Linked DNA regions of Pelodiscus sinensis. The protein of the gene in region 1 binds, or shares a complex with, the protein of each later gene. Links are inferred from orthologs where the notes say so. Each region holds a gene or a part of one and is shown in the gene's direction. Other genes may lie near its edges. The genes, in order: ABCC9 and KCNJ8.

What was found.
Region 2: the proteins of ABCC9 (region 1) and KCNJ8 are in contact, whole or in part, in a cryo-EM structure (PDB 7MIT), measured with the Rattus norvegicus proteins. The link is inferred for Pelodiscus sinensis from reciprocal best matches to the Homo sapiens genes ABCC9 and KCNJ8. Residues at the interface, in XP_038963045.1 of Rattus norvegicus: Phe5, Ile10, Tyr13, Asn14, Ile15, Val19, Asn22, Cys24, Phe25, Ala28, Leu29, Val32, Val35, Phe36, Phe39, Phe42, Pro43, Ile44, Phe46, Ile47, Gly48, Trp49, Gly50, Ser51, Lys55, Gln57, Ile58, Asn129, Phe130, Lys132; in NP_058795.3 of Rattus norvegicus: Met1, Leu2, Lys5, Ile7, Ile8, Pro9, Glu11, Tyr12, Val13, Leu14, Ala15, Arg16, Ile17, Ala19, Glu20, Asn21, Leu22, Leu45, Ala46, His47, Lys48, Asn49, Gly54, Arg55, Phe56, Leu57, Asp59, Ile60, Thr62, Thr63.

What each region holds. Positions count from the first base shown.
Region 1 is NC_134711.1:118,120,164-118,135,872, forward strand, and holds the start of ABCC9 (ATP-binding cassette sub-family C member 9), read left to right. Parts: upstream 1-10,077; 5' UTR 10,078-10,244; intron 10,245-12,049; 5' UTR 12,050-12,252; coding exon 12,253-12,276; intron 12,277-15,709. UniProt on the Homo sapiens protein: Subunit of ATP-sensitive potassium channels (KATP). Can form cardiac and smooth muscle-type KATP channels with KCNJ11. KCNJ11 forms the channel pore while ABCC9 is required for activation and regulation.
Region 2 is NC_134711.1:118,267,829-118,282,504, forward strand, and holds the start of KCNJ8 (ATP-sensitive inward rectifier potassium channel 8), read left to right. Parts: upstream 1-7,436; 5' UTR 7,437-7,716; intron 7,717-8,806; 5' UTR 8,807-8,890; coding exon 8,891-9,255; intron 9,256-14,676. UniProt on the Homo sapiens protein: Inward rectifier potassium channels are characterized by a greater tendency to allow potassium to flow into the cell rather than out of it.

The sequences.
Region 1 (15,709 bases):
GACCTATTATGCCCATCCCCCATGTCTGTTAGGGTATGTCTACACTACAAAGTTAATTCAAACTAATAGCCGTTAGTTCGAATTAGCTTTGATAGGCGCTACACTAGCGCTCTGCTAGTTCAAACTTAATTCAAACTAGCGGAGCGCTTAGTTCAAACTAGGTAAACCTCATTCCACGAGGACTAACGCCTAGTTTGAATTAAGTAGTTCGAATTAAGGGCTGTGTAGCCACTTAATTCAAACTAGTGGGAGGCTAGCCCTCCCCAGCTTGCTCTGGTGGCCACTCTGGGCACCACCAGGGAAACTCTTCTGCCCCTGTCCCGGCCCCGGAGCCCTTAAAGGGGCACGGGCTGGCTACGGTGCCCGTGCCAGGTGCAAGCCTGCCAGCACCCAGCCAGCAGACCCTGCACCTGGCACGGCTCGAGCCCGCCACCCGCTGCCACCCAGCCCTCCGCCTCTTCCCAGGACCAGGCTGGCGGCTCCTGGGAGCCTGCCCAGGTCTGCAAGAGGCGGGCGCCCGCCTGGTCTAGTGCGGACATTGTGGACCTCATCCACGACCTCCGCACTAGGCACAGGAAAGTGGCCGTCTAGGGCGGGATAGCTGCCAGCCTGGCCACCCAGGAGCAGGTTTGCATGAAAACCAAGGTGGTCCAGTGAGACCCCCGACCCTGAGCCCTGAGCTTACAATGGCCATACTGGGTCAGACCAAAGGTCCATCTAGCCCAGTAGCCTGTCTGCCGACAGCAACGAACACTAGGTGCCGTGGAGGGGATGGACCGAAGACAATGACCAAGCCATTTGTCTTGTGCCATCCATCTCCAGCCTTCCACAAACAGAGGCCAGGGACACCATTCCTACCCCTTGGCTAATAGCACTCCATGGACCCAACCTCCATGACTTGATCTCACTTCTCTTTAAACTCTGTTCTAGTTCTAGCCTTCACAGCCTCCTGCAGCAAGGAGTTCCAAAGGTTGACTATTTGCTTTGTGAAGAAGAACTTTCGCTTATTAGTTTGAAGCCTGCTACTCATTCATTTCATCTGGTGTCCTCTAGTCCTTCAATTATGGGAACTAATGAAGAACTTTTCTTTATGTACCCTCTCCATACCACTCATGCTTTTTTAGACCTCTATCATATCCCCCCTCAGTCTCCTGTTTTCTAAGCTGAAAAGTCCCAGTCTCTTTAGCCTCTCTTCATATGGGACCTGTTCCAAACCCCTGATCATTTTAGTTGCCCTCCCCTCTCCCAGCCTCTCTCTTCCCCTCTCCCACCTCCTTTTCCCAGTCTCCCCGAGTTCTGTTCAATAAAGAGAGTTTTCTATTTTTGAACACACGTATCCTTTATTTTGTACATCAAGAAGGGGGGCTAGGGAGGGGTAAGTGGAAGGAGGTGAGGGAGGAATGGGGTACGAGCCCCCGATGGGGAGGACAGGGGTGGCTCTGCGTGCTGCTCGGGATGGAAGCTCTCCTGCAGCCCCCCGATTGACCTCCTCCGGATGGCAGCCTGCGGCAAGTGCAGCCGGGCTTATGGCCGAGTGCTGTGATGTGCTGAGTGTGGGCACTCAGGGCACTCCAAGCGAGGACTGCTTTGCAAGCGGGGAACCCCTGAGAACTGTCTGTCCGGGGTGGGAGTCGGGTCCCTTTAAGCACAGCTCTCGGCTAGCCTGAGACAGCAGCTCCATGCTCTAAGCCCGAATCTGATGCCCTGCCGGCACTGCTTCCGGCCATCCTTAACCTCAGTTCAGGGTCCACTCACTGTGGACATGCTAGTTCGAATTAGCAAAATGCTAATTCGAACTAGTTTTTAAGTATGGATGCGCTAATTCGAATTAGCTTAGTTCGAATTAACTAATTCGAACTAAGTTAGTTTGAATTAGCGCTGTAGTGTAGACGTACCCTTAGATTGTTGTCCTGCACCATAGTAATCAATGTTCATTGTAAATAAACCAAACCTCCAGTTCTGAGCACTGCCACTTGTTTCAGATCTAGATTTGGATATGAATTTTACAGACTCAATCTATCTTTAATTCCAGCTGGACTGGTAGAAAATAAATGGCTGAACACACACAACAAGTGCCCTAATCTGCTCCTGGTTCTTCTAAGACTGTTTAGGACAGTGGTCCCCAACCTTTTGAGGTTGTTGGGCGCCAGGGGGCGTGGCCGTTCGCCCTCCGGGCGCCAGGGGGTTGGGACACTTGCGCGCCTGGGGGCGCCCCCCCCATAGCCGCATTCCCGGGGGCGGCCCCCCCATAGCCATGCGCCTGGGGCCCCCCCATAGCCACGCGCCCGGGGCCAGGGCCCCCCCATAGCCGCGTGCCCGGGGCCGCCGCCGCAAGCGCCGCGCGGCCGGGGCCGGCGCTTCCCCCCCCCCCGCAAGCGCCGTGCGCCGCGCGCCCGGGGCCGACGCTCCCCGCAAGCGCTGCGCCATGTGCCCGGGGCCAGGCCAGCCCCGATCACCTGGCGGGCGCATGCAAATGCCCCCGCGGGCGCCATGGCGCCTGCGGGCACCGTGTTGGGGACCACAGGTTTAGGAGGAGGTATCAAGTAATTTATTGTAACAGACTGACGCAGCCTTGTGTGCAATCATCTCATGAACTGGCTCACATACAGAAAATAGACCAAATGTATTTACTCAATGATCTCCAGACTGATTCTTACGCAGCAGGATAGTGTTTCAAAATGTAATGAAGAGTTGGTTCCCATTTTTCTGTTCACTCCCTTAGTGATGTGATAGTGTTGTCAATCCAACCCAGAATTATACTAACGGGACAAGATATAAAACAGAAGATCGTACTGACGAAAGTTCACTTATTTTTCCTTTACATTCCTTATAACCTTTGCATTATTATGTTGCAAATGATGTCAATCTCCCTAAAGTTGTATTACTAAATCTTAGATGACTGCCAACAGTTTGCTATGGAGCACAGTACAATTCACCCTATGTATCTCCTTCCCCATTTCTATTGCATGATAGGAAGAATTATTTTCTCCTCGCTCAATGGCTATGCTTGTTTTCTACTTGCTTATATTGAACAGTATCACATTAAGATGACTTGGAATTGTACCAGCTGTTCCATCATCCCATTCTCATCCTCTCCATATCTATATGAATCCCATAAAATATGGTCTGACTGATGGGACAAGATAAGTACATTCATTGATTCCAAACCAAAAGGGACAACTGGGATCATCTAGTTTAACCTCTAATGTAACACAGGCCATAGAAGTTCCTCCAAATAATTCCTAGAGCAGATCTTTTCAACAAAACATCCAATCTTTATTTTAAAATAGCCAGTGATGGAAAATCCCAAGACTTGGTAAATTGTCCCAATGATTAGTTCCTCTCACTGTTAATAATGTATGCCTTATTTCTCATCTAAATTTGCCTATCTTCAATTTCTAGCCATTGGATTGTGTTAACCATCTCTTCTAGACAGAGCCAGCCCAGGGTACGGGCTGACTGGGCTACCGTCCGGGGCGCCCCATTATAGAGGGCGCTGCGCGGGGCTTCCAGGCTGGGCAGGGGTGGCACCGCACATGCACCGCACACCCAGGAGTGTAGCCACACATGCATCGCACTCCCGGGGGTGGCACGAATGGCTCGGGCCGGCTCTGCTTCTAGATTGAAGAGCCTATTATCAAATATTTATTTCCCATGTAGGTATTTATAAACTGCAATTAAGTCATCCCTTAACTTTAACTTTGTTAAGATAAATCGATTCAAGGAGTTCAATCCATCATTATAAAGCTTGTTTTCTAACCTTTAATAATTCATGTAGCTCTTCTCTGAACCCGCTCCAATTTATCAACATCCTTCCTAAATTGTGGACACCAGAGCTGGATGCAATATTCCATCAGCAGTCACAGCAAGGCTAAGTACAGAGATAAAATAGTCTCTCTACTACTGCTTGATATTCCACAGCATTGCAGTGGGAGCTTGTGTTCATCTGATTATCCACCTAACCCACAGATCCTTTTCAGGACCCTGCTTTGAGGAAATAGTGTCCCATTCTGTCAGCATGGCCTTTGCTCTTTAGAAAGATTTACTGTAAAGCTGTAAAGATTTACATTTAGCTATATTAAAACACTTTCTGCACAATTTACCAGATGATCCGGATCGCTCAGATGCAGTGATCTCTCTGCTTCATTGTTTACCACTTGAGATAGGGGCATCTTTTTGCTCCAGTCTCTTTTCTACACACAAACTGCTCGGGGACCTTCTTGTGATCAAACACCATATGCAATTTATTTACCCTGTTGTCCCCAGCACCTTTACAAACTTGTGCATCTCTGTTTTGACAAGCACACAGTCCTGAGCTCACTCAGCTAAGGAGGAGAGAGGCAGAAGGTTTCTTCCTTCTGAAAGATCTCCTCTGACTCTCAAAAAACCTGTCAGACAAACAAAGAATCACTAACCCTGAGCATTTCCTTCCTCCTTTTCCTACTTTGTGAGCTAATTAGTTTTGCTCTCTTCATCTCATCCTAATCTGTCACTTAGGCACAGCTTTCTCCATCAGATTTACTTCAGGGCTAATTAATTCAGGATCCAGTGATCAGAATGCTAGTACAGTTGTTGATGACCAGAACTCCATCAAACCACTCTGTGATGCTTTGAGGCTCATCCAGGCCAGTAAGAAGTTCAATTACCACCTGCTTTGCAACTGCTTAATATCAGGGAGCTTCGTACCCTCTGCATTCTTAGGGTCACATGTTCCCCAATTTTAGTGTCATCTTTAAACTGTACTTGGAATACTTGAAAGATCCATGATTTCATTGATGCAGATAGTCTTGGCACCGAAGCAAATCACAACTTTTCCATGCCATCCTGTTTTGTGTGGTTCTTGTCCATGTCCTTTCATGAATCCTCCATAAAGGATCCACCCAATGTGCTAGAGGTCTTCCTCTTGTTCTTTTTACATCTCGTGGATACAAATGGAGTATACGTGCTGTCCATCTGTTGTCTCTCAGTCTCGCTAATGGTTAGCCCATCTCCTTTTCCGATCGTACATAACATGGATGATATCATTGACACCGCTTCTTGCGTGCAAAGGTCATTGGTGTTACAGAGATGGGCTTTTGCAGTGCTGGAAAGTTTGGAATCAACAAAAACACTGCGCAGACTCCCAAAGGCAATCCAACCCGACTTCCTCCTCCTGCACACCTCTGGGCCCCACTCTTTTTCCATCTGCAATGCTTGTCCAAGATATACATATTGATCCACCATCTTGATGGACTGTCCATCCAGCTGCATGATATACTCTGAATAACATGTGATGAAGCTAGTTTATGTTTAGCTAGAAGCCATCTTGTATAACAGAAACCATTTCAGCTTTTTGTCTTTGCACGTAGGCCAGAGTGAACTTTCTATCACCCCATGCGCCAGGCCAAGACAGATGTGCTATTGGAATGTGTTAATTAGGCTGGTTCAGAGAGGAGAGGTACTCCCTCGTACCTGTCCGCCATCATGTTGATAAGGCTTTGTTTTTCCTAGTCTAATTGATTATTTCTGTAATTAGATGCCCAGACGTCAGACTGTTTGGTTAAGGGTATAAAGATACTAGGATTGATTGTATTAGGTAGCCTTACTGGACCCGGCTTTGCTGAGACCACGTTTAGCTCACTTTGCTTTTATTGGCCAATAAAACTGTCTGTTTAGCCGCGTAAACTGAGTGAGGCGTTTGCTTCGACACATGTGTTTTCATCCACTTCATTTGTCCAGTATGGATGGTCAGGCCAATCTCCTTCACATTCTTACCAATGTCATTGAGTAGGATTTGCAATGTTTCAGGTTTTAATGCAATTAGGATGATGCTACCTCCTGCCGCCCACACCCTATAGCCAGTTTTCCTTGTAAGCTGGGCACTTGAGTGGCCGTTCCGGAGAAATTCAAATGCCACCCAGCTGATTAGCAGAGCACACACAGCTAGGTTTGTGTTTTTACTGGTGGTGCACATTCCCACATATCTTGGTGCACATAAAAATATTCCACACATGAATGGAAAAAATCCTCATGTGGATGGAAACGATTAGAGGGAATATTGCCTATAGCTACTCCAGTCCTCTTTGGTGTTGCTCCTCCCAGGACTGCCCAATGGAATCCCTCCATGCTGAAAGACTTCCCATAACATGGAGGGAAAGTGTGGGTTTTATGAGGTGAAAGGGGATGGGAAAATGGTTCCCATCTCCACAGGAGATGGGATAAGAACAGAGCATCTGGACCCTAGTTTGTCAGGGAGTTTTATGACCTCAGATGGACATGGCATAGCATGGAAACCCCTTTCAGGAATGAGGAGGTTCCATGACTAATTAGTGTTGGTGGAAATTTGGTAGTGGGATTCCACTGAAGATTGAACTAATTGTCGTTGCAAATGAAGTAGAGGGTAGCAGCTCTGAGGTTTTCAGCCTGAGTGCAGATAGTCCCAGCATTGTGACTTCATGAAAAGCTCCCATTGGACCTGTTCATTTTCACATGTTAGTCAACATAGCTTAACTGACTTCAGCAAAATTATGCTGATTTACATCATCTGATGATCTGGATCATTGACTTCAATAAGACAATATCAGGCCTCTATATGGTTAACTTTGTTTTGTTAAAAAAGCAAGAAAATGGTACAAGATGGTTTGTGTGAAGAAAGATAAGACCTCAATAAAGTCTCTTAAGATCTCCTAGTTAATACTGTCTGTTTGAAGAAGAAGCCACAACTCATGGAAATACAAAACCAATGCATGACCTTTTGGACACTATGCTGTTGACGTTTAGGACTGCTGCATGCCAACAAATTTCTACATTTCCAATAAAGGAAATTCCCTTAAGTTTTAGTGGTTCAACCTTCCTTAACTTTATTCTGTAATAAAATATGACATTATTGAAATTCTAAACAAGTTGTAAAGTTACAGTCATGAGAACTGTAGAGTACAAGGTTTGGCTGTGTTCTGCCAGTTCTAATGCAAAGCTGACACGTAATCTCAATTGAATTCTTGTAATTGTTTCCATTTTTCATCATAGTCATACAGGCTGTGTGACTTTTCAGTAACAGCAGTGGGCACTTGTAGTATTATCTTATGTTGTTCATTTTATCTTCATGCCTTTAAAAACCAAAATGATACAGAATAAAATTTTAAGAAGTGCTAATGTGGTCCAGCAGACTAAATCTGAAAATAGAACTTAAGATACTAAATAATGTAGGTAAACTTGAAAATTTTCCTCGTGATTTTGTAACTACTTTTTACAGTAACTGGAACAAATTCAGCTTGGTTTTGTCTCTGAAAGGTTATATTTCCAGATAAAAGGTTAAATTAGACTAGACGGGGCTATGGACTTACTAGTGTAAAAAGACGACATTAAGATTACATGTTCCTATTCTGAATATTGTCGAAGCAGTCTAAAAGATAATATATAAATATAGCAGAGATGAAAAAAGCAATGTCAGCAATGACACAGATGCTTTAAAAGATACTCAATAGTTGCATTTGGAGTAGTTTAGATTTAATAGGATAAAAAAAGGACTGTAATGCATTCTATTGTGGATAAACATTCTTATGCTCAGAGGACATGAGTGATTTAAAAACTTTTAACTGTTCTAACATTTATAACTGGAAAAAGTTGGAATATTAAAGGAACAGCTCTCATGCTAAAAATCAAATATGTTCTTGCCTAGCACCCTTAGATTTTAAAATAAATTTAAAGAGCTAATTTATTTTTCAGAATTTATAGTTTGTTTATTGTTTATTTACATATCTATGGTCTTGGATACTGAAAAATGATTACTCAATATCACTGCTGTTTACAATGAATAGTTCTGTGGCACCTTAGAAACTTACAAAAATATATATAGTATCATGGGCTTTCATGGGTAAAACCCACTTCTTCAGATGAGTTGGAGTGGAAATAACAGAATCCAAGATATATATAGCAGCAAAAAAAGTACCTGTTACTTTTAGGACCCGTGTTAAAGAAGCTAATTAAGAGGTCTGGAGGTGTCCCATTCATAGCTTTTGATGTGAAAATGCAGATGTTAAAGGCAGGGAAAATTGGCTTTAACCACTTAATGTCTTTATGAAAGCCCAGAGTAACAGACTACATCTAGACTGCAAGTTTCTTTTGCAATAAGTTTTTCTGGAAGAGATCTTCTGGAAAAGCTTATTTCAAAAGAGAGCATCCATGCAGCAAAAGCACAATGAAAAAGCAGTGTGCTTTTTTGAAAGATAGTATCCACATTTATTGGACGCTATCTTACATTTAAGTTGTGATTAGTATGGACGGAGTGGCCACCAGGGCACCTGTGTTATTTCCTGAAGGCCTCTTCTTTATAAAGAACTCCCTCTTCCGTGTCCACGCACACCTTTTTCTGAAAAAGCTTTTTCAGAAAAAGGCTTCTTCCTCATAGAAAGAAGTTTACCGCCATCAGAAAAACCTCTCCATTCTTTCAACTTTCTGTAAAGCAGTGTGGATGAAAGTACTGTTTTTCCAGAAAAATGGCTGTTTTTTCGGAAAAACACTGCAGTGTAGACACTCCCACGGTGTCAGATTTGTAGATGAATTACCATCCTGCAGTCTCTGTAATTGTGTGGTGAAATTCCTTTGTAGAAAAATGTTTACTACACAGTTTTCTGCTGTCTTATTTGTTTTCATTAATCCTTTGTCGCAGCGACAGTCGGGTTTGGTCAATATACATGGCCGAGGGGTATTGCTTACACTTGATGGCATATATCACATTAGAGGATGTTCAGTTGAATGAGCCCCTTATGTTATAGCTTATGTGGTTAGATCCTGTGATGGTGTTGTTTGCATAGATATGTGGACAGAATTGGCAAAGGAATTTGTTGCATGGGTAGGCAACTAGAATTCATCTACAAATTTGACACTGTTACCCTGAGCTTGAATAAAGACATTAACTTGGGCTGTCCTCATTCCCAGGGCAAAAGTAAAAGGCTTTAGAACTTAGACCTATGTCCACTCTTCTGCCAGTATCTAAAGAAGTCCACAGTGGTGTATATTACTCTAGCTTCCCTCCTACTTTAACCTTCATCTCCTTCCAGCACTTGAGCATATAATTTATATCTGCATAGACACTCTTCTGTGGCCATGTCTACACAGCAGCGTTATTTCAGAATAACTGATGTTATTTCTAAATAACATAGTCTGTGTCTACACAGCAAGAGTTATTTCGACATAATGTCAAAATAATGTCTCACTGGAGTGTTTCTTATTCCAATTCCTGTAACCCTCATTGAGTAAGGGAAATTGGATGAAGAGTGCTTTAACTTGGACTTCCTGCTGTGTAGACAGTGCCAAAAATCTAAATAAGCTATTTCACCTTAAACTACGTAATTGACATAGTTCAAATTACGTAGCTTATTTTGGCTTTAGCACTGCTGTGTAGATGTGACCTTTGTGACTGGAGCTGGGAGAAGCGGTGTCAGTGAGTAAGGAGTGGAAAACTTTGCAGCAAGGGAGGTTTAAGTTGGACATTAGGAAAAACTTCCTGTCCGGGTGGTTAAACACTGGAATCCATTGCCTGGGAGTTTGTAGACTCTCCAGCTTGGAGATATTTAAGAGGAGGGTAGATGAACATCTGTCAGGGATGGTCTAGATGGCGCAAGGGAGGTGAGGGCAGGGGACTGGATTTGATAGCCTCTTGAGGTCCCTTCCAGTCCTTGTATTTATGATTCTATGAACTGAACACCATTTGGTTCACCAGCTCGGACTTTGGCCCATTAACTGGAGTCAGGGTGGGAGCTTACACCTGGGTACAGTGCACTGTTAGTCCTAGCTCGTGTTGATCACTGCTGGGGAAGTGAGGGGAATCCCGCCAAATTCCACTCCCTTTGGGGGATGCCACAGCGAGTGCGATACGGCTCTGCTCTGTGCGCTCCAACCCGGGAGCAGCTCCTTTAGCTGCCCTCCGGACTGCTGCCCCGTGTCGCCCTGCAGGAGGGAGGGGAGCTGGCTGGGGGCCCGGGGCTGGGGCACAAACGGACTGTAGCATTGCTCATTACAATTAAAAGGGGAGGGGGGGTCTGCGCGTCTCACCCGCCCCCTTGGCTCCTCGCTGCCCCCAGCAGCAGCGCAGCAGCAGCAGCAGCAGCATTCCGCTCGCTTTGCTGGGTCTGTCTCTTCCCCGCTGCTGCTCCCTGGGCTGCTCCTTACCGACTCCCTGGCAGACTGCAGTAGTAAATACCTGGCCTCCCAAAGATTAATCCCCAGGAGCCAGACGCCTGGCAACACTCCCACCTTACCTCCGGGTAAGTCCCTTCCGCTGGGGGAAAGGGTGGCCAGAGAGGGGCGACTCCGATTGGGTGTGCTTGGAGATCAGGGAATCTGCCCACAAGAGATGGGAAAATGGCAGCTTTTTTTTTTCTTCTTCTTCAGAACAGTATTACATAAGGCAGTTTTACCATGCCTGCCCCTAAAAATAGCCCATTCCTCTAGGCGGCTGGGTGGTACTGTTTTCTGAGCCCAGCTCCCTCCCCCATCCTAAATTCCACACGTGGGACAGGATTGGAAACACACGTGTTTTAAAATGCCCCACAGATAAGAAAAGAGCTCAGATCATTCCCCCTGCCTGAATGATGTGCCTCCGTGTGGGAGAGTGTTCTGATACAGAGCTTATTACGGTGGTACATTCAGGCATGGGGGTGGGAGAGCCTTGAATTGAAGTCCAGAGCATGTTTCTGTAGATTGCTGTGTATGATAATAACACAACAATTCCAGCACTGCTTTGAAACCAGCCCCCCATCCCTGAGTATAAAACAAGTAGCACAGGCTTTGACAGTGCCTCAGAGCAGAACAATTTACCAGAGCTGGACAGGAAATGGCTTTCCCATCCCACAACACTTTGAGATAGCAAAATATTTTCCCATCCCAAACCGGGACAAAAAGTTAAATGTTGGAAATTTTCACACCTGGAAAAAAAAATTAGGAACAGAATGTGGGTCGGGTCAAGCAAAATATTTTGTTTCAACAAATTGGAAATGTTTCTTTGCCATCCTGACTGTTAAAAAATTCCCCCCTAATAATGAGTTTACATTTCAAAACAAACCATTTCATATTAGAAAGCTGTAATTTTTTAAAATTTAAAAATGCCAAATCAAAATATTTTGACCATTTTGGAACTTTTTTCAAAGTTTTTTCAAGTTGCAAATTTTGGTAAAATTGACGCGTCCCATCTAAATTGAAAATGTTTTCCATCTAAGTTGAGAACAAGTGTAACCACACCTATTGCACCAAAATATCTCCGACCATAATGAATGCTGGCAGCACTGCAAGATCCTGGATCTTGCATCAAGATTCAGGTGGCTCTTTCTAAAATTTGGCTCCAAACACTACAGTCTAAATAGAAAATAAAGGTAGTTGCTTTTGCTTTGATGAAAAAGTCTGAACCCTGATGCATCCCACTTGATAACATTGGGGGAAAAATACATATCTGGTAGCTGGATACTGCTATTTTAAACATCTATATTCTCATTTTACTGTCTAAATAGAAAACAAATATTCCTGGTACAAAATAATCCAGATACTGTAGTAAATGGGCACAGCTGCACCACAAAAACCTATTCCTGGTACTTGTACAGGTAGTTTTTCTTTTTTTGTCCCAAATCTAAAAATTCTACCCATTTTTTATAGAGGGACTAGATTTACTCTGTATTTTAATAATCTTACTTGGGAGCTCTAAACCAAAATGTGGTAGTATCCGAGTAGATCCAGTTTTTCCCATATCTTTATGATGATGTTCTAAATTGTAGTCTCACATGCGGAGCTATATTCTTTACTAAGAAAAGATTACATTTAATCATATTGCCTAATACTGTTTTCCAAAGCTGCATCACGCATGCCCTTTTGACATTTGGCCATCTAGGGGTATATTGATTATTTTAGAATAATCACCTGATGATCATCTGTGCAGTATCTTGCAACCCCTTTGTATCTTAGCACTTTAGCCCTGGAAAATGAAAATAAAAACACTTCAAGATTGTTTTTTTTTAAGCTCCTGGGATTGGAGCTTACGGGGTCTAAAATTGGTGTCTTTTGCTTGCTTGTCTCTTCTCAGTTTCCTGCCCTCTGGAGTGTGTGAGAAAGATGAGAAAAAGTTTGCTCACTTTGGAAACTCGATAGGAGGCAGCAGCTGATCTTCCCATCACCAGCCTAAAAATAATCCACTCTAGGGTTTGGAGCTGCTTCACAAAGTGGAGGAGAATCCTGCCATCGGAATGATATTGATCACGTAGCACAACCAACGAAAAACTGGGTTTGATGTTTGTTAGTGTATATATAAAGGTAAGTGACAGCGTGTGATCTAACATTCAGCAAAGAAAATGGGCATGCAGCAACATCCCCCACTATTTTCTCCCACTAACCTCTTTCTTCCCCTAATGTCTGTGGAGAAAGACTCTTGCGTTTTCTTTAGGATTACAGGGCAAATCTGTTTAACTTTTCCTTCTCAAACCAATATACTTGGACTTAAATGTTCCCAGCTGCTGATGTTTCTTTATTTTTCATAGGGTTATGATTCTTTTTAAATGAGTTTTACAATTGTCCCATCCTAGTGTCTGAAGTCTAAATGTCAACTTGTTTCACAGCAGACGGCATACCGTGCTAGCATTTGAGACTACAAGTTGTTTATTAAGAAGCTTCTAAAAAAAGAAGAAAGCAGGAGTCAAGACAATTCTATCTGAGAAACAGCTGCAAATATTAATACTTTGACAGTTTTATGTTTAACTCAGTTTCAGCTATAATCCTATATTTTCCTGTACATTCATTAATATATTAATAAATGTATTTTCTGTGCATGTGGGGCCTGATCCAAAACCCCTTGAATCTTTCCATTTACTTTGAATCAGGCTCTTGGTATAAATTGCTAAGTGCTTTGAAAACAGTAAAGTAGGTAGAGTAATTAATTTATCACATCAGGGCCCAACAGCATCTAGATAGTCGATATCTAGCTAGCAAATATATTTAAATTAATTGCACCTGGTTGAAATAATAATTAGAAAAATATAATATATTGGATAATTTTTGGTAAAATAAATAAACGATAAGAACTTTACTTGTAGTCTCAGCAGAACTGATAACAGACAACGGAAATTCTGAATAGCTCAGATTATGTTACGCAGAGTTAGGCAGCATTGGGGGGAAAGTATTTCAAACAAAACAAAGTTTATGTTAGGAAAGGAAAAGGATTTTGTGAAATATTGAGCTCTCTGCACATTGATCCTATGTACACTGAAATCAATGGGAAAACTCAAGATCAGGTTGACAGTTACACCCATGAAAACCAATTGATTTAAAGATTTGCTTTTCTTTGTTAGAAATCACTGTAGACTTTTCTTCTGCTATTCCATCACCTTCATATTGAGAAAGCTCATAAATACAATCTAAGTTCTCCCTTTTTATAATGAATCAGCTCGCTAGCAGAATCAAATATTGAGTTACTTTCATAAACATCTGCCTGTTTAATCTACTCATCTGGCATGCATAATAAAAAAAAAGAAAATGTACATCACATGCAAGGAAGAAAACAGGTTAAAACAAACTGAAAAAAGCAATTAATTCCCTGTGATATCATAGAATCATAGAATCATAGAATAATAGGACTGGAAGGGACCTCGAAAGGTCATCGAGTCCAGCCCCCCGCCCTCAAGGCAGGACCAAGCTCCGTCTACACCATCCCTGACAGATGTCTATCTAACCTGTTCTTAAATATCTCCAGAGAGGGAGATTCCACCACCTCCCTTGGCAATTTATTCCAATATTTGACCACCCTGACAGTTAGGAATTTTTTCCTAATGTCTAATCTAAACCTCCCCTGCTGCACTTTAAGCCCATTACTCCTTGTCCTGTCCTCAGTAACCAAGAGGAACAAATTTTCTCCTTCCTCCTTGTGACACCCTTTTAGATATTTGAAAACCGCTATCATGTCCCCCCTTAATATTCTTTTTTCCAAACTAAACAAGCCCAGTTCATGAAGCCTGGCTTCATAGGTCATGTTCTCTAAACCTTTAATCATTCTTGTCGCTCTTCTCTGTACCCTTTCCAATTTCTCCACATCTTTCTTGAAATGTGGCGCCCAGAACTGGACACAGTACTCCAGCTGAGGCCTAACTAGTGCAGAGTAGAGTGGCAGAATGACTTCACGAGTTTTGCTTACAACACCTGTTGATACAACCTAGAATCATATTTGCTTTTTTTGCAACAGCATCACACTGTTGACTCATATTCAACTTGTGGTCCACTATGACCCCTAGATCCCTTTCCGCCATGCTCCTTCCTAGACAGTCGCTTCCCATCTTGTATGTATGGAACTGATTGTTCCTTCCTAAGTGGAGCACTTTGCATTTCTCTTTATTAAACCTCATCCTGTTTACCTCTGACCATTTCTCTAACTTGCTAAGGTCATTTTGAATTATGTCCCTATCCTCCAAAGAAGTTGCAACCCCACCCAGTTTGGTATCATCTGCAAACTTAATAAGCGTACTCTCTATCCCAATATCTACATCATTGATGAAGATATTGAACAGTACGGGTCCCAAAACAGACCCTTGAGGAACTCCACTTGTTATCCCTTTCCAGCAGGATTTAGCACCGTTAACAACAACTCTCTGACTACGGTTATCCAGCCAATTATGCACCCACCTTATCGTGGCCCTATCTAAGTTATATTTGCCTAGTTTATCAATAAGAATATAATGCGAGACTGTATCAAATGCCTTACTAAAGTCTAGGTATATGACATCCACCGCTTCTCCCTTATCCACAAGGCTCGTTATCCTATCAAAGAAAGCTATCAGATTAGTTTGGCATGACTTGTTCTTCACAAACCCATGCTGGCTATTCCCTATCACTTTATTACCTTCCAAGTGTTTGCATATGATTTCCTTAATTACCTGCTCCATTATCTTCCCTGGGACAGACATTAAACTGACGGGTCTGTAGTTTCCTGGGTTGTTCTTATTCCCCTTTTTATAGATGGGCACAATATTTGCCCTTATGTTTTGATCCTGGCATGAAAACATATTGGCTATTTTGTTAAAGATCAAAAGAAATATACATTTTGGCTATGTCTACACTGCAGACTTATGCCTGCAGAGTATGCTAACGAAGCACTCATTAGTATTTGTTTTTCTGTCACTTGCATATTCTTTGCTCGAGGCTTTTTGCGCAAGAGGTTTTTGCACAAAAACAAGCAGCGTAGATGGGGCTGTTTTGCGCAAAAAACCCCTTTTGTGCAAGATCCTTATGCCTCAAAAAAGGAGGTATACAGATCTTGTACAAAAGGGATTTTTTGCACAAAACAGACCCATCTACACTGTTTGCTTTTGCGCAAAACTTCATGCACAGAAAGCCTCAGGCAGAGAATATGCAAATGACAGCGTGACAAATGCTAATAAGTGCTTCATTAGCATACTCTCTGCCGGCAAAAGCCTGCAGTGTAGACGTAGCCTTTGACATAGAAGTTCAAAGGATTCATGCTCCAAGGGACAAGGAGCACTTTAGACCCACATTTTACACCCTTTTCTTAATAGTTACAAGAACATAAGAACAGCCGTACTGGGTCAGACCAAAGGTCCATCTAGCCCAGTATCCTGTCTACCGACAGTGGCCAGCACCAGGTGCCCCAGAGAGGGTGGACCGAAGACAATGATCAAGCGATTTGTCTCCTGCCATCCCTCTCCAGCCTCTGACAGACAGAGGCCAAAGATACCATTTTATC
Region 2 (14,676 bases), about 150 kb from region 1:
TACACTGGCCCCGATTCTCCGGAAAAAGCGCCCTTTTCCGGAGGATCTTATTCCTACTTTGAAGTTGCCTATAGCATTATGAATGATCTTGCTCTGATCATAGAGTGGCTCTCCAGATGAAATAATGAAGCAGGAGGCATTTCAAAATACATTTTGAAATCTAAAACCCTACATGCTCTGTACAGGATCTTCAAAGCTTCCTAGCTCAATCAAACAAATCGTATCCAGCACAAAGGCATTTCTCTTACGGAAGGCTATTTTCTTGCCAGGTTCCAGCTTTCAAATTCCAACTGTTTCAATTGTAGAGTTGTTCATATAAAGGTGGCAAGAAGTGTTGAGTAATGAGAAAAGCAATTTCCCAATTATCTTCTCATTTGACAATGTCTGAATTCCTTTTGCTTAAACTTCAACTAAAATTCCTGTTTGGACATGGAAAAGTTCAGCATGAAAGATGAAAATTTCAGAAAGCTGTGACTGAAAACAAGGTGTCAAAATGGAAACTTTGTGATTTTTATGCACAGCAGTTGCTGTTGCTTCTGCTAGATTAATTAGAAGGTCATAAACACTCTAGACATAGAGTTCAATTCCTAGTCCCACCTTGGTAAATTTGCAGCATTTCCAGCAGTACAGAGGGGGCCAGCCCTGCACCCAGAAAAACACCACAAGAGCTTCCCAAGCAATATAGAATGACCAGAGTGGCTCTGTAGACATTCTACAGTAGTCAGAGAGTTTGGTGTGTATGGGAGTGAGTGTGTGTATTATTTATCTGGCATACTGTTGATTCGCCTATATTCTTGGCTGCAAAGTAGACTCTTAGGCTATGTCTACACTGCATAGTTATTTCGGAATAAGCTATTCTGGAATAGTTACTCCAAAATAGCTTATTTTAAAATAGAACAGCTACACTGCAAGGGAGCCTCAAAATTAGTCTGAAGCGGGCTTCCTTAATGTAGACGTGCTATCTCCATTTAGAGCCCCAGGAGGAATAACTTAGCCCCTCACCAGGGCCATTCTATTTCGAAACAGCTGAAGTGGAGCGTCTACACATGCCTTATTTTGAAATAGCTATTTCAGAATAGGCATTAGTCTTCATAGAATGAGGTTTACAGAAGTCAAAATAAGCCGTCCATTATTTTGAAATTATTTTGAAATAACGGAATTGCTGTGTGGACACTCGCATAGGTATTTCCGAATAATAGCCATTCCGAAATAACTTTGCTATGTAGACACACCCTTAGGGCGCTCTGTACTATACTGGAGCTGAACTTTCTCCAAAAAAAGTAGCATAAATTGCCTTAAAGAACCCACAATCCTTCCCCAAGTATTTAACTCAGCAGAGCTGAGCTGCACCTTGAATTTGGCCCATAATCTCTGAATATGAGACGCTGTGGGAGCATCAATAACACTAGCATTACAAATGACTTTCCAAATGCTCTCGAATGCCCATGTTTCAGAGCCAAAGCTGATCCTTCGGTGGAGTTAGGTAGGATTTTCCCCTTTGTGGTGCTATATTGCATTAAAGACCCAGGTATATTTGCTATTTACCAAAGAAACAGGGGAAGCCAGACAGAGAACTAGAGCATTTTCTCTTAAAACAAGGAGTTCCAACTACTTATGGGCTGTGTCTACATTGGCACCCCTTTCCGGAAAAGGGATGCTAATGAGACCAGTCGGAATTGCAAATGCTGCGGGGGATTTAAATATCCCCCGCGGCATTTGCATGAACATGGCTGCCGGTTTTCCAGCTCGGGGTTTTGCCGGAGAAAAGCGCCAGTCTAGATGGAATTTTGCGGAAAATAAGCCCTTTCAAATAGGAATAAGGGATCTTCCGGAAAAGGGCTTATTTTCCGCAAGATCCCGTCTAGACTGGCGCTTTTCTCCGGCAAAACCCCGAGCCAGAAAAAAGCGGCAGCCATGTTCATGCAAATGCCGCGAGGGATATTTAAATCCTCCGCGGCATTTGCAATTCCGACTGGTCTCATTAGCATCCCTTTTCCGGAAAAGGGTGCCAATGTAGACACAGCCATGGTGTGCCAGTCAGAATACTTTGTACTCTGGGGAAGATTTCTGGAGTATTGGATTTCTCTTCATATTCAATGCCAAGACCACTGAGTGGCTGCGTCTAGATTGGCATGATTTTCCGGAAATGCTTTTAATGGAAAAGTTTTCCGTTAAAAGCATTTTCGGAACAGAGCATCTAGATTGGCACGGATGCTTTTCCGCAAAAGCACTTTTTGCGGAAAAGCGTCCGTGCCAATCTAGACGCGCTTTTCCGCAAAAAAGCCCCGATCGCCATTTTAGCAATTGGGGCTTTTTTGCCCAAAACAGTACTGTGCTGTCTACACTGGCCCTCTTGCGTAAATGATTTGCGCAAGAGGGCTTTTGCCCGAATGGGAGCAGCATAGTATTTCTGCAAGAACACTGACAATCTTACATGAGATCGTCAGTGCTCTTGCGGAAATTCAAGCGGCCAGTGTAGACAGCTGGCAAGTTTTTCCGGAAAAGCGGCTGATTTTCCGGAAAAACTGGCCAGTCTAGACACAGCCAGTGGGTATGTGTGCACACCCACACCCACATGCTATACATATATATGTATGCGTATGTATATATATTCCACAAAACCCTCTATTGAAAGCCAATGGCATAAGACAACTGTAAAAGGCAGAGACGGCTGGAGTAAGAAACTCTGCCTACATATAAAGAGCATGACACAGCACTGCATAGCTTGCATAAGTCTCAAACTCTGTGATCATTTTAATGAGGAACAATCTTCAAGTTGCCAAAACACAGCAGTCCATTTACACACTTGCTTTGGCAGCTTACATTGGCTCGAATGAAGGGCCTTGATACTAGTCACATGATTTTAATGATAAGAGCTATTTTTATCCTCCTGCTGCTGCTGCTGAATAAGACAGAAGGAAGCTCGTGCAGGATAACTGAGGCACATAGTTTTCAGTTTCTGTTCTTGCATGTGTGATGAATCTACTGCCCGTTCCGTTAAGACTTCATGGTACCAGAATATGGTTTTTTATTAGCAGGGTGTCTTCACACAAGACTCAGACTGCACACATGATATCAGTGAAAGCCTGCAAAGTAAGTGTACTGTGGAGTGCATTTCCCAAGCAGTTTCCCACAAGACCAGTTTGATTTTCTGTACTGCTATACGGGGTGGCACCCATACAGTGTGGCAAGAACGGCAGGGCTGTGTCTACACTGGGCCACTTATTCCGGAAAATCAGCCGCTTTTCCGGAATAAGCTGCGAGCTGTCTACACTGGCCCTTGAATTTCCGGAAAAGCAACGATGCTCTACTGTACAAAATCAGCCGCTATTCCGGAAAAACTATTCTGCTCCCACTCAGGCATAAGTCCTTATTCTGGAACACTGTTCCGGAAAAGGGCCAGTGGAGACAGCCCAGTAGTCTTTTCCAGAAAAAAGCCCCGATCGCGAAAATGGCGATCGGGGCTCTTTTCCGGAAAAGCGTGTCTACTTTGGCCACAGACGCTTTTCCGGAAAAAGGGCTTTTCCAGAAAAGCAGCCTTCCAGGCTACGTCTAGACTGGCCACATAAGACGGAATAGGCATGCAAAGCAGGCAAGTCAGAATAGGGAAATCCGCGGGAGATTTAAATATCCCCCCGCGGGATTTAAATAAACATGGCCGCCGCTTTTTTTCCGGCTTGGGGAAAAGCTGGAAAACAGCGTCTAGACTGGCGCGATCCTCCAGAATAAAGCCAGAATAAAGTTTACTTGCAAGTAGGAATAAGAGATCCTCCAGAAAAGGGCTTTATTCTGGAGGATCGCGCCAGTCTAGACGCTCTTTTCCGGCTTTTCCCCAAGCCGGAAAAAAAGCGGCGGCCATGTTTATTTAAATCCCGCGGGGGGATATTTAAATCCCCCGCGGATTTCCCTATTCTGACTTGCCTGCTTTGCATGCCTATTCCGTTTTATGTGGCCAGTCTAGACGTAGCCCCAATGTAGATGCTCCTTTTCCGGAAAAACTGAAAACGGAATAGTATTCCGTTTTAAGCATTTCCGGAAATTCATGCCAGTGTAGACACAGCCCAGCTGTCTTTTGTGGGAACACTTGTATGCATTTTAATAAGGGTGCACTCCAATTCAGGATTAGGAACAAAGGATCAGCAAAACTGGATCAGATCCAAGGTCCACTTACTTCAGTATCTTGATGCAGATGAATGCTAGTGCCAGATGCTTCAGAGGAAGGTGTAAACCCTCTACATATTCCCAGATTAGTTCTCATCCTGATTTCTAATAATTTGAGATTCTCCAAAAGCATGAAGTATAATCTCCCTTCCACAAAATTCTTATAATTGATTGTGGTAACTCTGTTTCCACAGAGTTGAAGAGCAGGGGGAGGGGAAGATATTCCACATTTGAACTAATCCTATTATAAAACTGCTATGAATGATGCTGAGATTTGTAATTCTAACTGGGCATCTAACATGAAGCACTGGAATGAGATTAGATTAGGGCTGTTTGTTATAAAGACCTGATCTGAGGGAAAAGAAGGGAGCATAACAGTGCGAGAGCTGTAAATGGGGCAACTTGTATTCTTAGAAAATGGCAAGTAATGTCACTGATCTACTATGAGTAGATCATACTCTCAGTACTATCTCTCACTGATATAAATATATATCTCTTTGCATGTCATTCCCCACATGCCGTCTATCAGTATTTCAGAAATAATCTTGCCGATAATCACACACTGGGAAATCATACACTAATCCTGAGACATGTACAGTGCTATCCTTCAGTTATAAGAGATTTTTTCTTGTAACTTTCATATAGTTACGTCTGGGGAAGGGAAGAATGCCCCCCCCCCCATGCCTTCCTTCCCCCCAATCTGCTGCAAGCATTTTATGGAATCTTTTAAAAATTACCAGCTAGTTTAAAATACATTGTTTAACTCATGAGCTAATAGCATCGATTACGCAGCAGTGAGGTTCAGAGCTGTCCAGCTCAGGGCTCTTTCCAAAGAGCATACTAAAGAAGCACCCCTCCAAACTGCTAGCACCAGCTTCACCTATCTCTCTTGTTGTTGGGGTCTCAAAGCCCTATACTGCACACTATGGCCTTGCTTCTGCACACATTAAATCACACACACGAGTAGCTTTCTGCATTTGAACACTTCGTAGCAACTCATGTGCCTGTAGTGAGCCTCTAAAATTAAATAACCAGGATGAATAACAATTTACTAAACCTTACCGAAACCTCAGTTAGAAGCATTCTACTAGCCCCATAAGAACATAAAAACAGCCATACTGGGTCAGACCAAAGATTCATCTAGCCCAATATTATGTGTTCATGTAATAGAGTTTGCTCCTAAAGGCTCTCCCCCTCCCAGCTAGCTGTCTGTGGAATTAATTCAGACTCTGCTTATGGAGGCAATATAATATTCCCATTCTACAGAAAGGGATCTGAGAAGTTAAGTGACTTGCCTCCGTCTTATAATGACTCAGTGGTAGAACTGAGATTAGAACTCTGAAGAACTTGGTTTCCAGTAGCCTCTGCTCCTGCAAAAATTACTATATATGCTTAATTTTAAGTAGCTGAGTAGTACCAACTGGGTTTATTTATCCGCTTAAAGTTAAGCATGTGCATAAGTTTTTGCCGATTTTGGGGCATCACACACACACACACACACACACACACACACACAGAGTTGCAAGCACTATGGGCACAAAGGAGTTTATCAGGCAAAATGCAGAGTAGTGCAGAGCACACTTTGCTTCCTTAAAATCTAAATTTAGATACTTCATGAAGCTGATGTTCTGTTTATTCTTTCTATGTGTAGGTGTGGGGGAGGGGATGTCAAATTTCCTTGAAAGAAAGCTTCCATTAAACATGAGAATCTGAGAAACTGCCACAATTATGGCTTTTAACTTGAAGGGAGAGAATCTTGTTTATTTCATTGTTTGCTTTAAGTATTCCTGTCCATGAATACTTTCTCCTACGCCCATCTCCTACCACTCAGTACCTGCTGCACCAGCTAACTGTGAGAACAGGCCCATTCAGCACCAATTCAAATTAATGGGAGTTCTGGAGCTGTAAAAAGGTCTTCTATTGCAGTAGCAAAATAATGAAGTCAGTGGCGTAGAGGCAGCAGAAACCTTGACAGATTTTGGCCTTGCTCCTGCAAACACTTATTCACAGGTTTAATTGTACACGTCAGTTATCTCATCAAACTCAGTAGCAGATTTTGCAGTAGGGAGAAGAAAGTAGTACCTCAGTTTACCACCACCCCCTGCCCAGCCAGCTTGAAACATATTTCACAGTTATGCTGCCATCAGGTAGTGAGGCTGTGGGCAAGTCTAAAACTCTTTTGAGAAGAAAGGAAATGAGCGCCTCTGCTAACGAGCCTGATCTTTCAAATGAGCCCTAGTTCTGCAAAGCTCAAAAAAAGTCTCCAATCCTCTTCAGCAGGCTTTGGATCAAGCCTGAAATATACTCATGTGTAATTCAATAATTTGGTTATATTTTAAGTGCTTTGCCACAGAAATAAAAACACTTGATCAGGGCTTCCAAAAAGTGAGACATTATTAAAACTGAAACATAATCAATATTAATGAGACTATACAAATATAGGATTGACAAAGGGGTTTGTATTTTTCAGTTTTTTGGTTGCTAAGCTAGGTTCAACAGAAATCTTTCTATTCGATAAGGAAGACAACAACACTATTCATCTAAAATCTAATTTAAATAATTCTATTTCATTCTTAATGTTTAAAATGATTTGCCAGAGATGTTAAAGCTCTCTTAGTCAACTTTTTCATTCTAGGTTTAAAAGATTTGGTGCCAAAGTAACCTACGGTCTGTAAATAGAATTTCAGGTATGATTAGAATTGAAATAGGACTGAAAGTGAACAATCCATTACATTTCTATCACTATTCTACATGTCAGGTATGATTAGGGCACTTAAAAAGTGAAGTCCCATTGACTTTCAATAGAAACTGAAGGCTCTCTAGCGTTCTTGGGGCAACTTTTTCAACTTGATCTAGAGCAGTGCAACTTTTCACGGTATTTTGACTCCTTGGTGGCCTCTGCAAATGGGACTGAGGCTGACCAGGTTATCGTCTTCTTATATGAAGAGCATTTAGGGGCAATCCCTATAGTCTTTACACTGGCAAATCTCCCTCTTGGGTAGCATGCTTTGACTGCATAGGGACTGTGGGATCAGGGCCCTGTTACCTACTGACCTTTACACTTGGAGAAGGAAATCCCCCCCCCCCCCACCACCACCACCACCCCCTGTGCGCCTGTAGAGGCTTGGGCTCCAGAACAGCCCCCTGTTCTGCCCCTTTGGGGTGGGGGGGAACCAAAGTTGGGGGCTGTTTGCAAGTGTTTGGAGCGTGGGAGAGGGGCTGTGATCTGCCCCCCTTGCTCTGCCCTGCCCCACACACCGCTCCAGCACCCTCCCCTTTACTCCCGCACTTCCGCCGTCACAAATCACAGCTCCTTGCGCCAGCGCAGGGGCAGTCGAGCATCACTGGGGAAACCGCCTGGCGGGGGCGGGCAGGGAGCGAGAGATCCGCTTCTGGAGCTTGTCCTGCGCTGCAGCACCGAGCCGGCACCGGCCTGTCCCCGGCGGCCGGACTGCAGGGCTACTGCCGCCGCCGTCCCGGTGCGGGGTCCGGCTGGGATGCGGCCAGGCAGCGCCCGGCGCGGGACCTAGCGCGCCCGTCCTGCTCCGGCGTCTGGTAAGTGCCAGCTTCTCTTCTGGGGCCCCGCGCTGCCCCTGCGAGCCCGCCTCGCCGCCCCTCCCCGGCACAGAGCCGCCCAGGTGCCCGCGGGCGCCGCTCTCCCGTGCCAATGAAAGGGCCCGCTCCAAAAAAGGGGGCAGTGGGACTCGCAGTCTGCGGGGGCTAGAAAGTGCGGGGAGAGGGTGCGGCGGGGGGGATGTTGTGGTTGCTGTGAATTTGCACATGTATTAAGCAGGGCATGGTATTCATCAGGAACATCAGAGCAAAAACCAAACAAAAAAGAACTGGAGTTTTGCTTTCCCCTGTCCAACCAGCCTGTCTGCCTCTTTCTTTCTTTCTTTCTTTCTTTCTTTCTTTCTTTCTTTCTTTCTTTCTTTCTTTCACGCATATTTCCTGCAGAATAAAACACTTGTTTTATTTTTCATTGTTATGATTTGGAAGGAGACAAGACGGCTAAATCCCTCCTTTTAAAGTAACTTGCTCCCTAGCACAACCGGTGGTTAATACTTTCCCAGCGAGGGGATGTAGTACGTTCCCACACGTCTCTGTTTTAATGTGAAATACATGATGGGTTGGAACTACACTGTGCAAGCCCTTCTTATTCATGTTAGTGAGTAGCATACCAGTTGTCTTACAGGCTCCAGTAGAGCTATTTAGAAAGGCTCAGGCAGCCCTTGTTAAACAAAATTCTGCAAATTGGTAAGCATGCAAGTAAGACTGACTTGCCTGAGTACTCCCATTCCATGGAGTAATCACTTACATGCAGTTGCTTGCATGGTTAAGTATCTCAGTAGGATCTGGAACATTGTTTACTTTGGTCCACAGCTATCAGGCGTTTCAGTGGCTTTGCTCTCTAGCAATGTCTAAGATAAATCACTTATAATTTGTTTTAGGATTTGGCCCTAACTGCTTTTTAACAATCACAGTCTAAAATGAGCATATAATAGCACTGTAGAATACTATTTCAGTGACATGTAACTCAACAGCTGTTCCCACGGGGGCCATCTACTTTGCATGCCTATCCCTTTATTGTCTGGGAAAAATGGAAAAGAGATGGCAAACAAGATCTTATTTTTCCTTTCCTCAGAATGTAGGAGGACAGACAAGGGACAAAAGGGAGACCAGTGGAAAAGCACTTGTGTCCTGCTAGGTGGACTATGGTGGCAGGAAGATGTTGGCAAGGAAGAGTATTATCCCTGAAGAATATGTGCTGGCACGGATTGCGGCTGAGAACCTTCGCAAGCCACGCATCCGGGACCAGCCCCGCAAAGCTCGTTTCATCGCCAAGAGCGGGGCGTGCAATTTGGCACACAAGAACATCCGGGAGCAGGGGCGCTTCTTGCAAGACATCTTCACCACCTTGGTGGACCTGAAGTGGCGCCACACGCTGGTGATCTTTACCATGTCCTTCCTGTGCAGCTGGTTGCTCTTTGCCATGATATGGTGGCTGGTGGCTTTTGCCCATGGTGACATGAATGGTAGCACAGAAAACTGTATAGGCAGTACTGACTGGACACCATGCGTGACATGTGTCAGGTAAAGTACAATAGGAGGTATACGGAATAGCAATGATGTAAAACTTGGCTTTGGTTTACTTGAATTGTACTGTACTGCATAGACAACTGAGAAGTTTAATGTTCTCCACTAGGTTCCACCAAATTCTACAGTTCCATCCTCCTTTGCCCCCCCACCACCATCCCCCAAAACCCCACCTCAGAATTCTTTGATGCTTTATAGGATCGCCACAATCTGACAGTACAAAGACCCTGCAATTTTTCATAAGTCTCTACAGTCTGTTGATAACTTTCCATGCCAGTAAAGATAGAGCCTGCTTCAACAAAGTAGCCCGTAGGTGAGTGTTGTAGATGGTTTAGTTCTGTCTACATCAATTGGCACCATCTTGAACATGAAATTAATTTCACACCATGATACAACAAGAAGGCTGTGTCTAGACTACATGCCTCTGTCGGCAGAGGCATGTAGATTAGACACATAGGCAAAGTCAAATGAAGCCGCGATTTAAATGATCGCGGCCTCATTTAAATTTACATGGCTGCCGCGCTGAGCCGACAAACAGCTGATCAGCTGTTTGTCCGCTCAGCGCGCTAGTCTGGACGCTCCCCTGCCGACATCAAAGCCCTTTGTCGGCAGCCCCGTTATTCCTCGTGGGATGAGGTTTACCAGGGCTGCCGACAAAGGGCTTTGATGTTGGCAGGGGGGCGTCCAGACTAGCGCGCTGAGCGGACAAACAGCCGATCAGCTGTTTGTCGGCTCAGCGCAGCAGCCATGTAAATTTAAATGAAGCCGCGATCATTTAAATCATGGCTTCATTTGACTTTACCAAACAAACAAATCTACATGGCTCCGTCGACGGTGCCATGTAGTTTAGACGTACCCGAAATGGCTTAGCTCAAGACCTATGTTTTAGCTTCGGAAAATCAGTCCAAACGTCCAGAGATAACCACTGAATTTGCTGGCTTGTCCAACTTAAGAGGCTTGATTTCCAGAAAATGGAAAGCATCTGGATATTAGGCTCTTTTAGATGTCTTTAGTTGGGAAGCCAAAACATGGAAGTACCCAAAATCATTTATCTGAATCTTTATTAGTGACTATTATTTCAATTATAGGACAAGTGCTGTGACATTCTGCATCAGTGTTTATCTCAGACAACAAGAACTGCTGTGTAAAAAACTAGCTCGGTATTATGATAAGGGCCACAGGTTTGGGTTATTTTCCTTTTACTACCCACACTTTCCAGAACACCAGCCAAATGACTGATCAGGAGGGAATTCCATATATACACAGTATGTTTGCAGACTCCAAAGAGTAAACATTAATAGGAGGGATGGGTAAGCAATGAGACCATTCTGTCATATGTGCAATGAGATCCTTGTTTATAGGACTCACTCTTGGACCAAAAACTGTCTGATTCACCACTGCTCTGTCGTTTGCACCAGTGCAAGGCAGTTGAACTATGCTACTGAATCAGAATGATTGCATTTTGCACACACTTTGCACTGCTATAGGGACCACAAAAGGGGCAGGTAGTGTAGAATTAAACTCATAATATCTGAACATCCAGTTTTATCTCCCGCTCTGTCTTGGTGATGCAAATGCCATAGCTGCATGTACAAAATGCCAAGAGGTGGTCTTTCTGGCCTACGAAGAGCCAGGTTCTCCACCCCTTCTCTTGTTTTATGCTGCTTTCCTAAGTGGAAGTGTTGCCCATGCAAGTTGGACTAAATTAATTGATTTTTTATTTATTTTTTAGGAACTGGCTGCAAGCCAGAGTTTCTGAAACAAGCAATTAGGGCTGAGAGTGCCTCTGCATCAGGCTCCTTTTTTATGGCATCTCCATTGTATTCCTCAAGGAATGGCAGGCCACAAACCTGCTCCTCTCAGGAGAGCTGCTCCGTTGGTTACTGAGCTTTCCGTATTTGGTCTGTGAGGCCTCGCCTTGCCTTTCAGCTTCAAAGCAGCAGCACAGCTCTAATGGACGCCTCTCCTATGAGACTTTCTTGCTGGCTGCTACCCCAAGATATCCCCTTCCCAGAGGACATTCCATGGCATGGAATGCACATGCACTAAAGTTCACACTGACTCAGTATTCGGTTTTTGTGAGGACTACGCACGATACTCAGCCTGACGCCAGCTGCGGGGAAGGAGGAGCGGGGGGGAGGGTTACAGAGCACAACAGCATTAAGCCAGGCCTCATGCTGCCAGACATGTCCCCAGTAGTCCCTTACACTGGGAGAATGATTAACTGTCTGCTTCAAGCAGTTTTATGGCCACTTTCTGCTGCCGACATGGTGCAAAAGGAGTGTGTCCACTCCAAGATTCTGGCCTGCTCTCTATTCCATCCACTGGCATTACCCTGGTAAGCCACCACCTAATCCTGGCAGCTACAAAACCCTATTGAAACAGCTCTGGTAAGGTCACTACATTTTACTGCAAGGGAATTGTGAAGGTTTATTATAACTCCCAGAAGTGAATGAAGGATTAGCATATCTTTTTGCTTCAGCATATGACAAAGAACACATGTCATTTGGTATCAGTAGCTGTGGTGTTTCAGGCCAAAAGGCAGACAACCATCTGTCTTCTAGTCATGAAAAGTAATTGACAGTAAATGATTCCGATCTATTAAAACTGGCTACCTGTTCCAAGAAAGGTATGGAACAAAAATACTGTCACTAATTTTTTAAGAATAGAGAAAAGCTGATTACCTGATCTTGAAATAAATGGAGACACCTATCTCCTAGAACTGGAAGGAACCTTGAAAGGTCATTGAGTCCAGACCCTGCCTTCACAGCAGAACCAAATACCATTCCTAACAGATTTTGTCCTATATTCCTAAATGGCCTGCTCAAGGATTGAACTCACAGTCCTAGGTTTAACAGGCCAATGCTCAAACCACTGAGCTATCCCTCCCCTGAAAGGAATGTTTGATCTAAAAGGAATATTTGATATTTTCACTTTATATACAGGCAGTCCCCGAGTTACGTGGATCCGACTTATGTCGGATCCGCAGTTACGAACGGGACTTTTCTCGCCCCGGAGGACGGGAGCGGCGGGACGCCCAGATGAGCCGTGGTCCTGCCGCCTGTGTTCTCTGGGGCGAGAAAAGCTGCTCCCCGTCTCCTTGGTCTGCTGGTCAGACCAGGGAGAAGCGGAGCAAAGCTGCGGAGGACGCCCGCAGCAGGACAGCTGCGGAGCTCCTGGGCTGTCCCGCTGTGGGCGTCCTCCGTGGCTTTGCTCTGCGTCTCCCTGGTCTGACCAGCAGACCAGGTAGACGGGGAGCAAAGCCTCGGAGGCTGCCTGCAGCGGAACAGCCACGGCACGCATGGACTGTCCTGCTGCGGGCGTCCTCCGTGGCTTTGCTCCGCGTCTCCCTGGTCTGCTGGGGGGCGGGGGCGCAGCTAGTGCCCCCTCCCCCCCAGCAGACCAGGCTTTTCTGCCCACGACGCCTGGGGTAGAGCAGCTGGGGCGCTGCTGGGTTGGTCCCGCAGCGCCGCTCCTCGGCGCTACTGGAGCAACCCAGCAGCACCCCAGCTGCTCTGCCCCAGGTGTCCCCAAGTCAGCCGCTGCTGAAACTGACCAGCGAGTAAGCCCAAGGCAGAGTTGCTCTGCCCCCGGCTTCCTGGAATCAGCCGCTAATCAGTTTCAGCAGCAGCTGACTTGGGGACGCCTGGGGTTCTTAAGTTGAATCTGTATGTAAGTCAGAACTGGCATCCAGATTCAGCCGCAGTTGAAACTGATCAGTTACAGCAGCGGCTGAATCTGGACGCCAGTTCCGACTTACATACAGATTCAACTTAAGAACAAACCTACAGTCCCTATCTTGTACATAACCCGGGGACTGCCTGTAGTAATAATAATTAATAGCCAACATTTTCATATTGGTGTGCCTAAAGTGTGGCTCTTAAACCCATATTAGACGTCTAACTAAAAGCTTTCTATGTAACTACAATGTGGTGTTGAGAGACACCTGGATTTGAAAATTGTAATCAACACTTAGGGTGTGTCTACACAGCAAAGTTATTTCAGAATAACAGCAGTTATTCCAAAATAACTATGCAAGCATCTACACAGCAATTCCATTATTTTGAAATAATTTCAAAATAACAGATGGCTTATTCCGACTTCTGTAAACCTCATTCTACGAAGAATAATACCTATTCCGAAATAGCTCTTTTGCTATTTCAAAATAGCCCCTCATCAGGACCATTCTAAGTTATTCCTTCTGGGGCTCTAAATCGAGATAGCATGTCTGCATTAGGGAAACCTGCCTCAGACTAAGTTTGAGATTTCCCTGCAGTGTAGATGTTCTATTTTGAATTAAGCTATTTTGGAATAACTATTGTGCAGTGTAGACGTAGACTTAGAGCATATAGGTTTTCAAAGTGCTGCATAACAATTAACCACACCACTCTGTGGTAGATAAATATTGTAATCCTACCCATTTTCCAGACAGGAAAATTGTTGCCAAAACTGAAATGGGATCAGTGACAGACTTGGGATTATTACAATGAGGAGTTCCCTGGCTTTTACTTCTGTGTTCAGATACTAAGCTTGCTAAACCACAGTTTCTTCAAGGACTGAGTTTACACCATACAAATGTGGATTCTTTTAAAAATGAATAATTTTTAAAGGAAATTGGAATATCAGAAGTTACAGCCATACACTTTACTCTGCATGCATCTGAATATTCATCACCATATTAACCCTTTCACTAATTCCATTAAATGCGACATTAACTCCTTCATACCTGAATTCTTTAAAATGAAATGCCCAAAAAACCAAAACAAAACTCACAAAAACACACCACTTTGGTGGTGGCTTCAAAGAATGAAAAGTTTTAAAAAGCCCCTGGTTTTAAAAACACTCATCAAATTTTTATTAGCGCCTGTGAGAATTCAGCAGCCTCATTTCTGGAAGTCACCTTCTTTAAGGTGAGTTTTCTCTTTCCACAGGAAAAATCTCCCTGATTTTGCATGTGCTATAAAACATCTTAGATTCTCTCCATGACTTTTGGTCCTCTAGTATTTCAAAGGACTCTTCTCACTTATCCTGAAGACATAGTCAAAAGTTAGTTAAAAGTTGATCAAGTTTTGTTCTTCCAATCCAAACCTGAAACAAAGGATGGTTCAGCTCTACCTTTGAGGAAAGGCTAGATATATTTCATTAACATAGACCTGTTATGTACGTAGATGTTACATCTGGGTGAACTGTAATATATGAAAGGGGTTGTTGCCATATTAATTCTTATGCATCAATATCACATTCCATGTGTGGCATGTCCAATAAGTCGTTCATATGCTACTTACATAGCATTCACATATAAATTGCAAACCTAGAACCATATTTAAATTGTGCAGCTGGCCTTTATTTTGACAGTGAACTGAGCTGCCCCCAACCTTTGGGACATGAATGGAATGAGCGTAACGGCCCACTGATTTA